Linked DNA regions of Arabidopsis thaliana. The protein of the gene in region 1 interacts with the protein of each later gene in a biochemical or structural test. Each region holds a gene or a part of one and is shown in the gene's direction. Other genes may lie near its edges.

Region 1 (5,517 bases):
TATATTGGGAAATAAAACATTAATTGTCATAGTAAAAATAATACATATTACAAAAAGTGATTCGATATGAATAGTTATAAAGTGATGAAACATCAAAAACGTTTGAAATGAATATAATTTATTCAGAATATATATTTTTTATTTATTTATTCAGAATATTCAATATGATACGTTAAAAACTTGATTTTAATAGATTACTAAAATGTAAAAAAAAAACTGATTTGAATAGAGGCTACTAACATTTAAATTTTACTACCCATGTTATTTGAATAGAGGCTAGCATGTAATGGATTTAGCGGAATAAAAATGTGAAAGTTTGACGAATGCTATGAATACAAAAAGAAACACTATGCCATTCATACCATCATGAACAAATGCTCTGATTCAAAAGGAGGCAATATGGGTATGTCGATTTGACAAAATGGTCGAAGTTCTTAGGGAACAAAGAGATTTGAGGTCACAATGCAAAATCCAAATATCTTTATTTTTATTTATTTATTTTTTTGTTAAAAGGGTTTTAAAATCCAAACATCTTGTCTAAAGAAATTGTAAAAGACACTTCAACAGAAGATGCCTTCCAGAAGCAAGCAAACAGAGTTGAGTTTCTCAATCTCGTTCCATCATGACCACTAAGCCAATACATGTATGTATGCATCTACGTAACGTATGCGTGTATATGTATGTGCATGTATGTGTGTGGGATTTGGAGGAATGGGAGAGAAAGAATAAAAGGACAAAGGAAAGAGTCATGTAAGAACATTTTGGACATTGACGTCTCTAGAGACGCTTGGATAGCCATTAAAGTGCGGCTATGGAGTTGTCCACGTCTTACTTCAAACTATGATGGCTCAGCTTAAGAAGATGCATACAAAAACCTCTTTTGTTTCCATTCGTTTTTTCTTATATGAGAATGTGGTAAATTCTATAGACGATGTAACACAAGCTATAGAGAATGTATATAATTACAACTGGAATTAGCACACTATTTGTTTATTAATGCCAATGGTATCCCAACTCTACATAAAAAAAGCTTTATAGCAAAAAAAAAACTCTACATCCAAAACGCAGATGCATGGACTGATGGACATTGGTTAATTACCCAAAGGAACAACATTTACGTACCACTGGGCATCCAAACATATAAGCGAATATCACCAAAATCCAAAATCTAAGAAATTTCAAAAAGCAAGAAGTTATATATATGTGTCCATTGCTTTGCCAAAATCTAAGAAGTTATAGATTAGGGTTTCTAGAATAGATAAGCATCGAAGGGATCACAAAACTGTAAACCAAACTGAAATAAATGTTTATACCAAAAACAAAATTTGCTTCTTAACCAATTGGTTTTATAAAAAGAATAAGAATTTGAAACCGAGTTTAATGTAACCAGTCGATCGGACTAAACTAATTGAGATAAATATAATCATAATGTACATTTTAATTTATTAATACAATAGATGTTAGTATAACTATATTAAAATATTATTAGTTCAAACATTATATTTATATAATATAAAGTTAATTTCCTAACTAAAACCAAACCGAATCAAAACCATAATCAAACTGAACCAAACTAATCTGTTTTCACATTCTATATAACCGAAACCAAACAAACAGATCGGATTTTAACCCATACCTATAATAAAACGCTGTCGGTTTGAATTCGGATATATGGGCCCAAATAAGTTCAGTCAAGTAATGGGCTCAAAGCCCATAAATATATTCTCTGGCGCCGCCAGAAATGGAAGAAACCGAAACAAAGTTTCTCTCTCTCTCTCTCTCTCTCGCATAACCTTTTCGCCGAAACTCTCATCTTCTCTTAGCCGAGAAAATTCAGCCACCACCACCGATCAGTAAGTTCTTCGTATTCCTCCGTCTCTATCATCGAATCATTATTTATTCAATAAATTAATTCCATTTCTTCAAACCCATGTTTTTTGGTTGGTAAAGTTTTCATTTTTATCGTCTCTCTGTTTTTCAATCTCTCTTTCAGTTTCAGATTTTGGCATGGGTTGTACTGTGAGGGAGAAGCACGTGAAACCGACCCGTAGGATCAAAGCCGCTGCATTTAGATCCGACCCACCGTTATGTTGGGTCGAGAAGATTGCTATGTCACAATCAATTGTTGAGAACCTTGTTTATCATCCTGGTCTTACTGATTCCGGTTCTGTCAATTTGAATTCCGTTACTGAGAATCCTGAGGAGAATTTTTGGGCATATTGTACAGAGGAGCATTTGGAAGAGATTTTGCTGAAACATTTGGAGTTTTTGTATAATCAAGCTGTTTCTAAGCTTCTTGAATTGGGCTATGAGGAACGTGTTGCGTTGAAAGCGGTTTTGAGTAATGGACACTGTTATGGTGAATTGGATGTGTTGACTAATATAGTGAATAATTCATTATCTTATTTGAATAGTGGTGGAGGTGGAGGTGGGAGTAATGGGAACGGTGAGGATCGAACGGAGACTGGTTTTACGGATTTGAGAGATTTGGAGGAGTATTCGCTTGCGGGTATGATTTACTTGTTGCAACAAGTTAAGCCTAATTTGAGTAAAGGTGATGCAATGTGGTGTTTGTTAATGAGTGAGCTCCATGTTGGTAGGGCAAGTACTCTGGATGTCCCAACGAATAGGTCTAGTTGTTGTACTAAGGAAGATAGCAATGTAGAAGATGTTGGTACGGGTGGTACTCTAGATATTGCTGGTTTTATGGCACCAGCGTTGTGTCGATTCCATGGAGGTTGGGGTTTTGGGAATGGGGGAGGACCTGAGTTTTCTGGTAATGGGTTTTCTATGAAAGGTGCTGAGTTGAAGTTGCAGAGAGAGATTGATTGTCCTAAAAGGTTTAATCTTTCGCCATCCATGAAGTCCTTGTTGAAGCGGAATGTTGCAGCGTTTGCTGCTGGGTATCGTGCTAGTATGAAGCAGAAGCAAATACAGTCGTCTGATACTATTGGTGATAGCAAAGCTTGTAATGATCCTGCAATTGTGAAGAGTTGTGGGCAGCAACCACGTAAGTCAGGGAGTGAAGAAAGTGTTAGTACGGTGTTGGAGAAATTTCGTGATCTGAACCTTGATGATAATCTGGAATCGGTGGGTGTGGATGATAAGGATTGTGTGATAGTCGATCTGCTTCATCAGGTTAAGGATTTCGAGAAGAAAGTAAAGGAAAGGAAAGAGTGGGCTCAGAAGAACGCAATGCAAGCCGCACAAAAGGTCAGCGAGGAATTAGCTGAGCTTAAAACATTGAGTAGTGAAAGAGAAGGAATCCAACTGCTGAAAAAGGGGAAACAGGCTGTTGAAGAATCAACTGCGAAAAGATTTACTGACAAGGAAATTGAACTCAGAAAAGCTTGCAGTCAAAATGACAGGGCCAATGTAATTGTAAGAAAGCTTGAGAATCAAAATGCAGAGATTCGAGCAGAGCGGGAGGGATCCAAATTAAGTGCATCAGAATCGCTTAAAGCGTGCATGGAAGCATCAAAGAAGGAGAAAAAATGCTTGAAGAAGCTTGTGGCATGGGAGAAACAGATATTGAAGTTGCAGGATGAGATTACAGCTGAAAAAGAAAAGATTAAGGCCCTATATAAGACTTTAGCTCAAATCACAGAGTATGAAAAGGAGATTGAGGTACGTTGGTTCATATTATATTCATTTATACTGTGAAAGTTCTCTAGATCCTCTATACTTTTAACTCTAGAATTGTGGGAAGTACATTTACTTAGGATTCAAAATATTTACGTACGTTATCATTTGAGGCACACATCTAGTTGCGAAGTTGGTTCTGTCTTAGATGGTAGTATGCCATAAGACTTCAAAGATCATTCAAGAGGTATAGTCTGTGTCTGCCACATATTTTGCTAGGGTAGATGGAACCTGGATTTGATATGAATATAATCTTGGAGAATCCGTCTCGAGTTGTAGAAGCCAAATGATTTGCTATACCTATTGATATGTTCCACTGGATAGCTTTTCTCTCTACATGGTGGTCTATATTTTCTTTTCGTTCCTGACGTTTTACCTGTTTGCGCCTTGCGGGTACGTTATCTATGTTGCTGCACATTGTGTTCAAAACCTTGCTCTAGATTTGCTTACTTGGACTGTGGTTGATGACTGATAATTGAAATATCAATTTACTTTACCTCAATTAAACATGGAATGATGGTTAGTCTATCAACTTCTTTTTATATTTACCTGTTCATATGTTATTTGCAGGCGAAATGGAGGCAAGAGCAGAAGGCAAAAGAGGAGGCTCTGGCTCAAATGGAGGAAGAACAACGCTCAAAAGAAGCAGCTGAGGGTCACAACAAGAGAAAGCTTGAGACTTTACGACTCAAAATTGAACTAGACTTCCAAAGACACAAAGACGATCACCAAAGACTGGAGCAAGAACTCGGTCGACTCAAAGCCTCTTCAGATAGTGACTCAAGCCACATATCCAACAACGCTTGGAAACCCAAAAAATCTCAAGGAGAAAACATTGCTAAGCTGCTTGAAGAAATTGATAAGCTTGAAGGGTCTTATGACAATGAAGCAAACTATGATCGAGAATGCATAATCTGTATGAAAGATGAAGTCTCTGTGGTGTTTCTTCCTTGTGCGCATCAAGTTGTGTGTGGTAGTTGCAGTGATAGCTTCTTCGCGAGCAACAACGGCGGAAGCAAAGTCACTTGTCCTTGTTGCCGAGGTTTGGTTCAGCAGCGAATCCGTATCTTTGGAGCAACCTCATAAAAGCAGAAATAAGCTTCTCTTTGGGTTTCAGAGAGATCACCACAACTTCAGGTTTTACTTTGTAAGTACAAATAATATGTTTAGCTTCTTCCTCAGAGCTTTTTACACTCAGGAAATTTGATTTTTTTCGATGAAAGATCTTTGCACGATGTAAAATAACTTATTATCGTGATTATCTTGATGAATTCGATTTGGAGGAAACATGCCTCTCTAGTTTTTACCAAATAAAAATCAACTATCGTTTGGTTTGTTTTTGGTTTTGTTTGGTTAAACCGGATTGGACACTTGTTAGCAAAACAATGACAACCACAAGTTCTTGAAAACCACAATTATTGATGCTTTGTCTACTTTTCTTCTTGTGGGTTTTGTTGTGTGGCCGTTACTTGCAAGAAAATGGCTTCGTGTGCCATCTCAAACTCATTTCATACTGTAACCTTCAAGACCTTGAAGAGAATAAGTCCTTACAACAGTCTATTCGGTTGGAACTCCGGTAAGAAAATAGACAATATCCGGCCGCCGCAACAACCGGCTTACCACGACGATGTCGAAATTCCTTTCTCTCTTTCAATGGTAAACAAAACCTTCCTAAAAGGTAAATAAATTTATTCCCTTCTTCTCAATCTAAGTCCTTGTAGCAACATGTGGACTTATATATTCTACCACTAGGAATAAGTATATTTCTTATCTAAAGTTCTTCAACTATATAACAATCTTTTTTATTAGGAAGAGAGTTAAAATGTTGCTACAAGGCAAGCATTGATGGGTTTGGTGCAACAAAGTTCCACGAGC
Region 2 (5,061 bases), on another chromosome or scaffold:
ATTCGCGGAAAATTGTTTCAGTAACCTGTGATCGTGTCGGTTGGGGTAGAAGAGATCGAAGTGGGAGCAAAATCATGATGAATCGGCTATTCGGGAAACCCAAGCAGGAGGCTAATGCTCTCCAAACTTTAGACAAGCTTAACGAGGTATCATCTACTTATCTACTTCTCTCTCTCAATTTACGTTCGATCTGAAAGAAATATCGATCTCTCTGTGTACTGATCTCTGTACTGTTTGTTTAATCTTAAACTTAAATCACCATAAGACATCACTTCAAATCCGATTCTCGTTTATATTTAATACTCAAAAACGATTGAATTGGGGATTTCTGAGTACAATTTATATGATCGTTTGCTTTTAAACCATATTCAAATTTTGTTGATTTGTTCATTGCAGACGCTTGAGATGCTAGAGAAAAAGGAGAAAGTACTCTTGAAGAAAGCTGGTGCAGAGGTTGAGAAGGCAAAAGAATACTCCCGGGCTAAGAACAAACGAGGTATGACCTCTTATTTATTATGACTCATGTGTGTTGCTAATCACTGGAGTACTTAAAAGCTGTATTGGGTTTTTGCAGCGGCTATACAGTGTTTGAAAAGGAAGAGGTTATATGAGGGACAAGTCGAACAGCTTGGGAATTTCCAGCTCCGTATTCATGATCAAGTGAGTTTGTTTTAAGATTGTTAACTATAAACTATATAGCAGTAATTAGATGAATTTATTGGGATCTTATATCTTTTTGTCATACAGATGATTATGTTAGAAGGTGCAAAAGCAACAACCGAAACTGTTGATGCATTGAGGAGTGGAGCTTCTGCAATGAAGGCAATGCAGAAAGCAACGTAAGTGTTCATCACATTTTCACCATATTACTCTTTACTACCATTTTAACCGTCATCAGTTCTGGGAATCGTTAATACGAGCTTGGTATTCAAAATACTTATGCTTTTCTTGTGCTTGAATGCTTTAACATTTCTAGTGCCTGACTAACTCAAAACACAATATTTTGCAGAAATATTGATGATGTGGATAAGACCATGGACGAGATCAATGAGCAAACCGAGAACATGAAACAGATCCAAGAAGCATTGGCGACTCCAATGGGGGCAGCGGCTGACTTCGACGAGGTAACTTTCTTGTACCCAAATGATCATATATTTTTCAACTAATAATGACTTTTGTCTAAGAAAAACTTCTCTTTGATAGGATGAGCTTGCAGCAGAGCTTGATGAACTAGAAAGTGAAGAGCTTGAATCGCAACTTCTACAGCCGGCAACAACAGCTCCTCCATTGCCTTCAGTTCCAGTGCCTGCAGGGCGTCAACCGGCTCGTCCTGTTCCCCAGAAGCGGACTGCTGAGGAAGAAGAACTCGCTGCATTACAGGCTGAGATGGCCCTCTAAGGTCTCTTCTATCTATAATCAAAGCAAAATCAATCAATTTGCTTACAGACTATGGATTTGTAATTTAACTAGTTTTGCAATTGGCTTGGTTTAACTGCAGGTTATTCACCTCTCCGAGCAGAGACATGTATGCATTGATAGACACGAACAGACGATGTATATAAGGATCTGAATCAGATTAATTCGGAGCGAAAAACTTTTATAATCCCCGTCGTTAATGTTATCTGCAATTTGAGTGTTCTTCACATAATTTATCTTTTGTAATTTTTGTATCTTTTTATGACACTTTTTCCTTTGGTTAATAATCACTTTACTCCTATGTTCATCACTTTCGCCTGATAAGACTACTCATGAATAGTCAACCATATACGTTGACTTCGCTGCTTTAACAAACATCATGCCGTTTTGGTACCATAAAATTGGACTCCGTGTCGTTTTAAGGTTAAATTCAAATTAATTGGAATAAAAAATGAAACAGAAAGCGAGGGATAATAACCCGCTTAAGTTTTCAAGGCTTCTTCTACAATTCTCTCATTTCGAATTTGATAAAGAGAGGAGACGATAGTGAGGGAAGAGAGTGAGAGAGAGCTGTAGCAGTGTTTGAAATCCTTTGGATTGCATCACCAGGAGCAAGAGATCACGATGGTAATATACTCTGGACGAATGTTCTCTACTTGTGATTTTGTTTCGCTAATGAACCTCTGTGATTTGTGCATTTTCCTGGGAAGATCGAGTGATTATTCTCTATGATTCTATGAATCGTGATTATCTTACACTGATGATCTTAGCTTGTGATTCTTCGACTTACAAGAGAATTTTGGATGTATTGATTCGACCTATTTGTTTGAATGTTTAGTAGTCATCGTTATGTGTTTCTCTTACTCTTCGAAGAAATTTGTTTAAACTTATCGTTCATCGGTAGTAATGTTTCTATCTTCCGTAGTTCATTACAAATTTGTGTGAGGAATTTCCGCAAACACTTGGACTGCATGACGCGAATCGATAGGTTCTCGAATTAGCATTTATCTAGCAGCCAATTCTCGCAATCAGTGTAGTCGCTGAGTTGACTGTATATATTTTTGACATTTTCGATCTGGAAACTATTTGTTGACAGATCATTTGTTGGATTTCGTCATTGAAGCTCTGAAGTTTTTTTTCGTCATTCTCGTATCAACTGAATCGCTGCTTTCTATTGTTGATGATATTCAGTCTAAGAAACGGGGACTTTCGCTGGAGGAGAAACGAGAGAAGATGCTTCAGATATTCTATGAGTCTCAAGACTTCTTCCTAGTGAGCACTTTCTTTAGTTTTTACAACTTGCTAATTTTTGGACGCCTTTGAACTAGCTTTATCTACCAAGTGATCTGATATCTAGAGTCGTGAAGTGCATATACTGCCTAAATTTGTTGCTATTGAACTTTTGGGTTTGTGATACAAGCACTTATGGGTCTCTACTTTTGTAAAAAAATTTCAGCTAAAGGAACTTGAGAAGATGGGGCCGAAGAAGGGTGTAATTAGTCAGTCTGTGAAAGATGTTATCCAGAGTTTAGTCGATGATGATCTTGTTGCGAAAGACAAGATTGGAATTTCTGTGAGTAGCTTAGTGTTCCTATGTTGGATCTTTTTATTTCATTTGTTGCCATATAGTCCTTGTCTCTGTTATATGTTGTTTGACGGTGTTCATTATTTTGCAAATGAAGATCTACTTTTGGAGCCTTCCCAGCTGTGCTGGCAATCAAGTGAGTCACCGTTCTGTATCCTGAGATGACATCAAAAAGATTCATATTAATTTGAGCATAGCGAAATTCATTGTTTCTGATCTCATTTTGAATGAACAGCTTAGGAGTGTTCGCCAGAAACTTGAATCTGATCTTCAGGGTAGTAACAAAAGGTTAGCAGAACTTGTTGATCAGTGTGAGGCCCTAAAGAAGGGAAGGGAAGAATCGGTAAGTATTTTCAGTATTGTAGAATTAATGCTCGAATAAGCTTACGTGTGCTTTTCACCAGAATTGCTGTTCTTGCTGCAGGAGGAACGAACAGAGGCCTTGACGCAACTCAAAGATATTGAAAAGAAACACAAAGATCTGAAGGTCAGATTATACAGACTATCTGTTTGCATAGAGCTATTCACATGCTTAACAAGTTGCTAACAGTTTCTTCTTCTTAAACAGAACGAGATGGTACAATTTGCTGACAACGATCCAGCTACTTTGGAGGCAAAGAGTTAAGTTCTGCATAATACGTTACTTTTGTTTTGTGTTAGATCTCCTATATGGTTTTCCCGGTCTTCGTGGAGCAGAAATAAGAATCAATCTTGTGCTTTACTAGCTGTATCAATGTGTATATTCCTTCTAATTTTGACAGGGAATGCAATTGAAGTTGCTCACCAGTCGGCTAACAGATGGACAGGTATTTCATTTCTAAAACTTGGGAATGTGTTTTCAGTTTTAATACTTACGTAATTTTCACTGCAGCCTAGATTATAATTCTTTCAAACTTACTCAGATAACATCTTCACACTGCGACAATGGTGTTCAAACAACTTCCCCCAGGCCAAGGAACAGCTAGAACATCTATACACGGAGGTATCTTCCAGATCTTTTCACTTCAAAAGGCTATAAATTCCACATTTCACATTCTCATACATGAAGGAGAGACTAAATCAGCTGGGTAACTTTCAGGCGGGAATCACTGAGGACTTTGATTACATAGAGTTATCATCATTCCCTTTGAGCTCATCCCATGAAGCTGATACCGCAAAGCAGCTAGTACAAGATGAAGCTTAGTTCTAATACTCTCCAGCATAACAGTTAAAGAAACAATAGCTTAAGTAAAAAATCTTTTCACTATCCTTTTAAGTTTTCTGGTTTTAAAGGTTGCAACAGTCTGTAATTCTCTATGTGACCCAATCATCTAATGTCAAAACTCGGTTACAAATTCTGTGGTCAGAAAAGATTTTTATTTTCTTTGTATCTGTCGGCTATGTCCAAGCTTGGCTATGTTTTGTTATAATATTTTATTGGAGTTATATATATATCATGCGTTAGTTGTTGACCCACTGGTTACTTCTTGATAGCTGTATTACCATTTTATATTCTTTCTTGGCCGCTTTTTTCAGTCGTGAGCAGCACTTATGTTATACACCTCCAGGTCAATTTTGTTGCTACCAGAAGAGGAAATGGGCATAGACTTTGTACTTTCTAGTCTTTTGTGTTTTTGTGTTATCTTAAACGCAGGTTGTCTGTTTTTCTGACGATGATGAGCTGAGCTTTACAAAATAAGAAGAACATGGGAGCTCACTCTGTTTTTCTCATCCTTTTTTCCGTCATTGCCATTGCCATTGTAGTACATGGCCAAGGCCAAGCAGGTTCGTGAGTCTCATTCTCGCTTATTTTCCTCTGTTAGAGTCTGTTTTGATTTGAAAATGAGCAATCTTCAGACCAAAGATTTTTGAAGTTTTGATATATGTGGTTGCATTTTGGCCAAAACCGTGTTCTGATTATTGGTTTGACATGATAAGTGAGGTCCAAGTCTGTTTCTATGATTGAATGCTTTAGGTTCTAAAATTTAAACCTGCATTGGAATTTTGATGAAAATTTTCTCAACGTTGTAGAATTAATCAAAACCCTTACCTTCTTCTGGTCCAGGTTTCATCAGCATAGA

What was found.
Region 2: the proteins of AT1G32530 (region 1) and ATMND1 form a complex in vitro, tested with the Arabidopsis thaliana proteins (one study listed by BioGRID).

What each region holds. Positions count from the first base shown.
Region 1 is NC_003070.9:11,758,877-11,764,393, reverse strand, and holds AT1G32530 (RING/U-box superfamily protein), read left to right. Parts: upstream 1-1,758; 5' UTR 1,759-1,853; intron 1,854-1,993; 5' UTR 1,994-2,007; coding exon 2,008-3,627; intron 3,628-4,212; coding exon 4,213-4,728; 3' UTR 4,729-4,967; downstream 4,968-5,517. Other genes in the region: AT1G32520 (TLDc domain protein), read left to right, coding at 5,122-5,320, 5,452-5,517.
Region 2 is NC_003075.7:14,380,945-14,386,005, forward strand, and holds ATMND1 (Mnd1 family protein), read left to right. Parts: upstream 1-1,891; 5' UTR 1,892-2,040; coding exon 2,041-2,043; intron 2,044-2,512; exon of another isoform or gene 2,513-2,607; coding exon 2,608-2,688; intron 2,689-2,872; coding exon 2,873-2,989; intron 2,990-3,098; coding exon 3,099-3,137; intron 3,138-3,236; coding exon 3,237-3,344; intron 3,345-3,425; coding exon 3,426-3,488; intron 3,489-3,569; coding exon 3,570-3,621; coding exon of another isoform or gene 3,622-3,626; exon of another isoform or gene 3,627-3,762; coding exon 3,763-3,807; intron 3,808-3,903; coding exon 3,904-3,983; intron 3,984-4,079; coding exon 4,080-4,184; 3' UTR 4,185-4,521; downstream 4,522-5,061. Other genes in the region: SNF7.1 (SNF7 family protein), read left to right, coding at 75-146, 397-496, 575-660, 748-839, 1,010-1,124, 1,204-1,398; RHS16 (root hair specific 16), read left to right, coding at 4,687-4,765, 5,046-5,061. UniProt on the Arabidopsis thaliana protein: Required for proper homologous chromosome pairing and efficient cross-over and intragenic recombination during meiosis.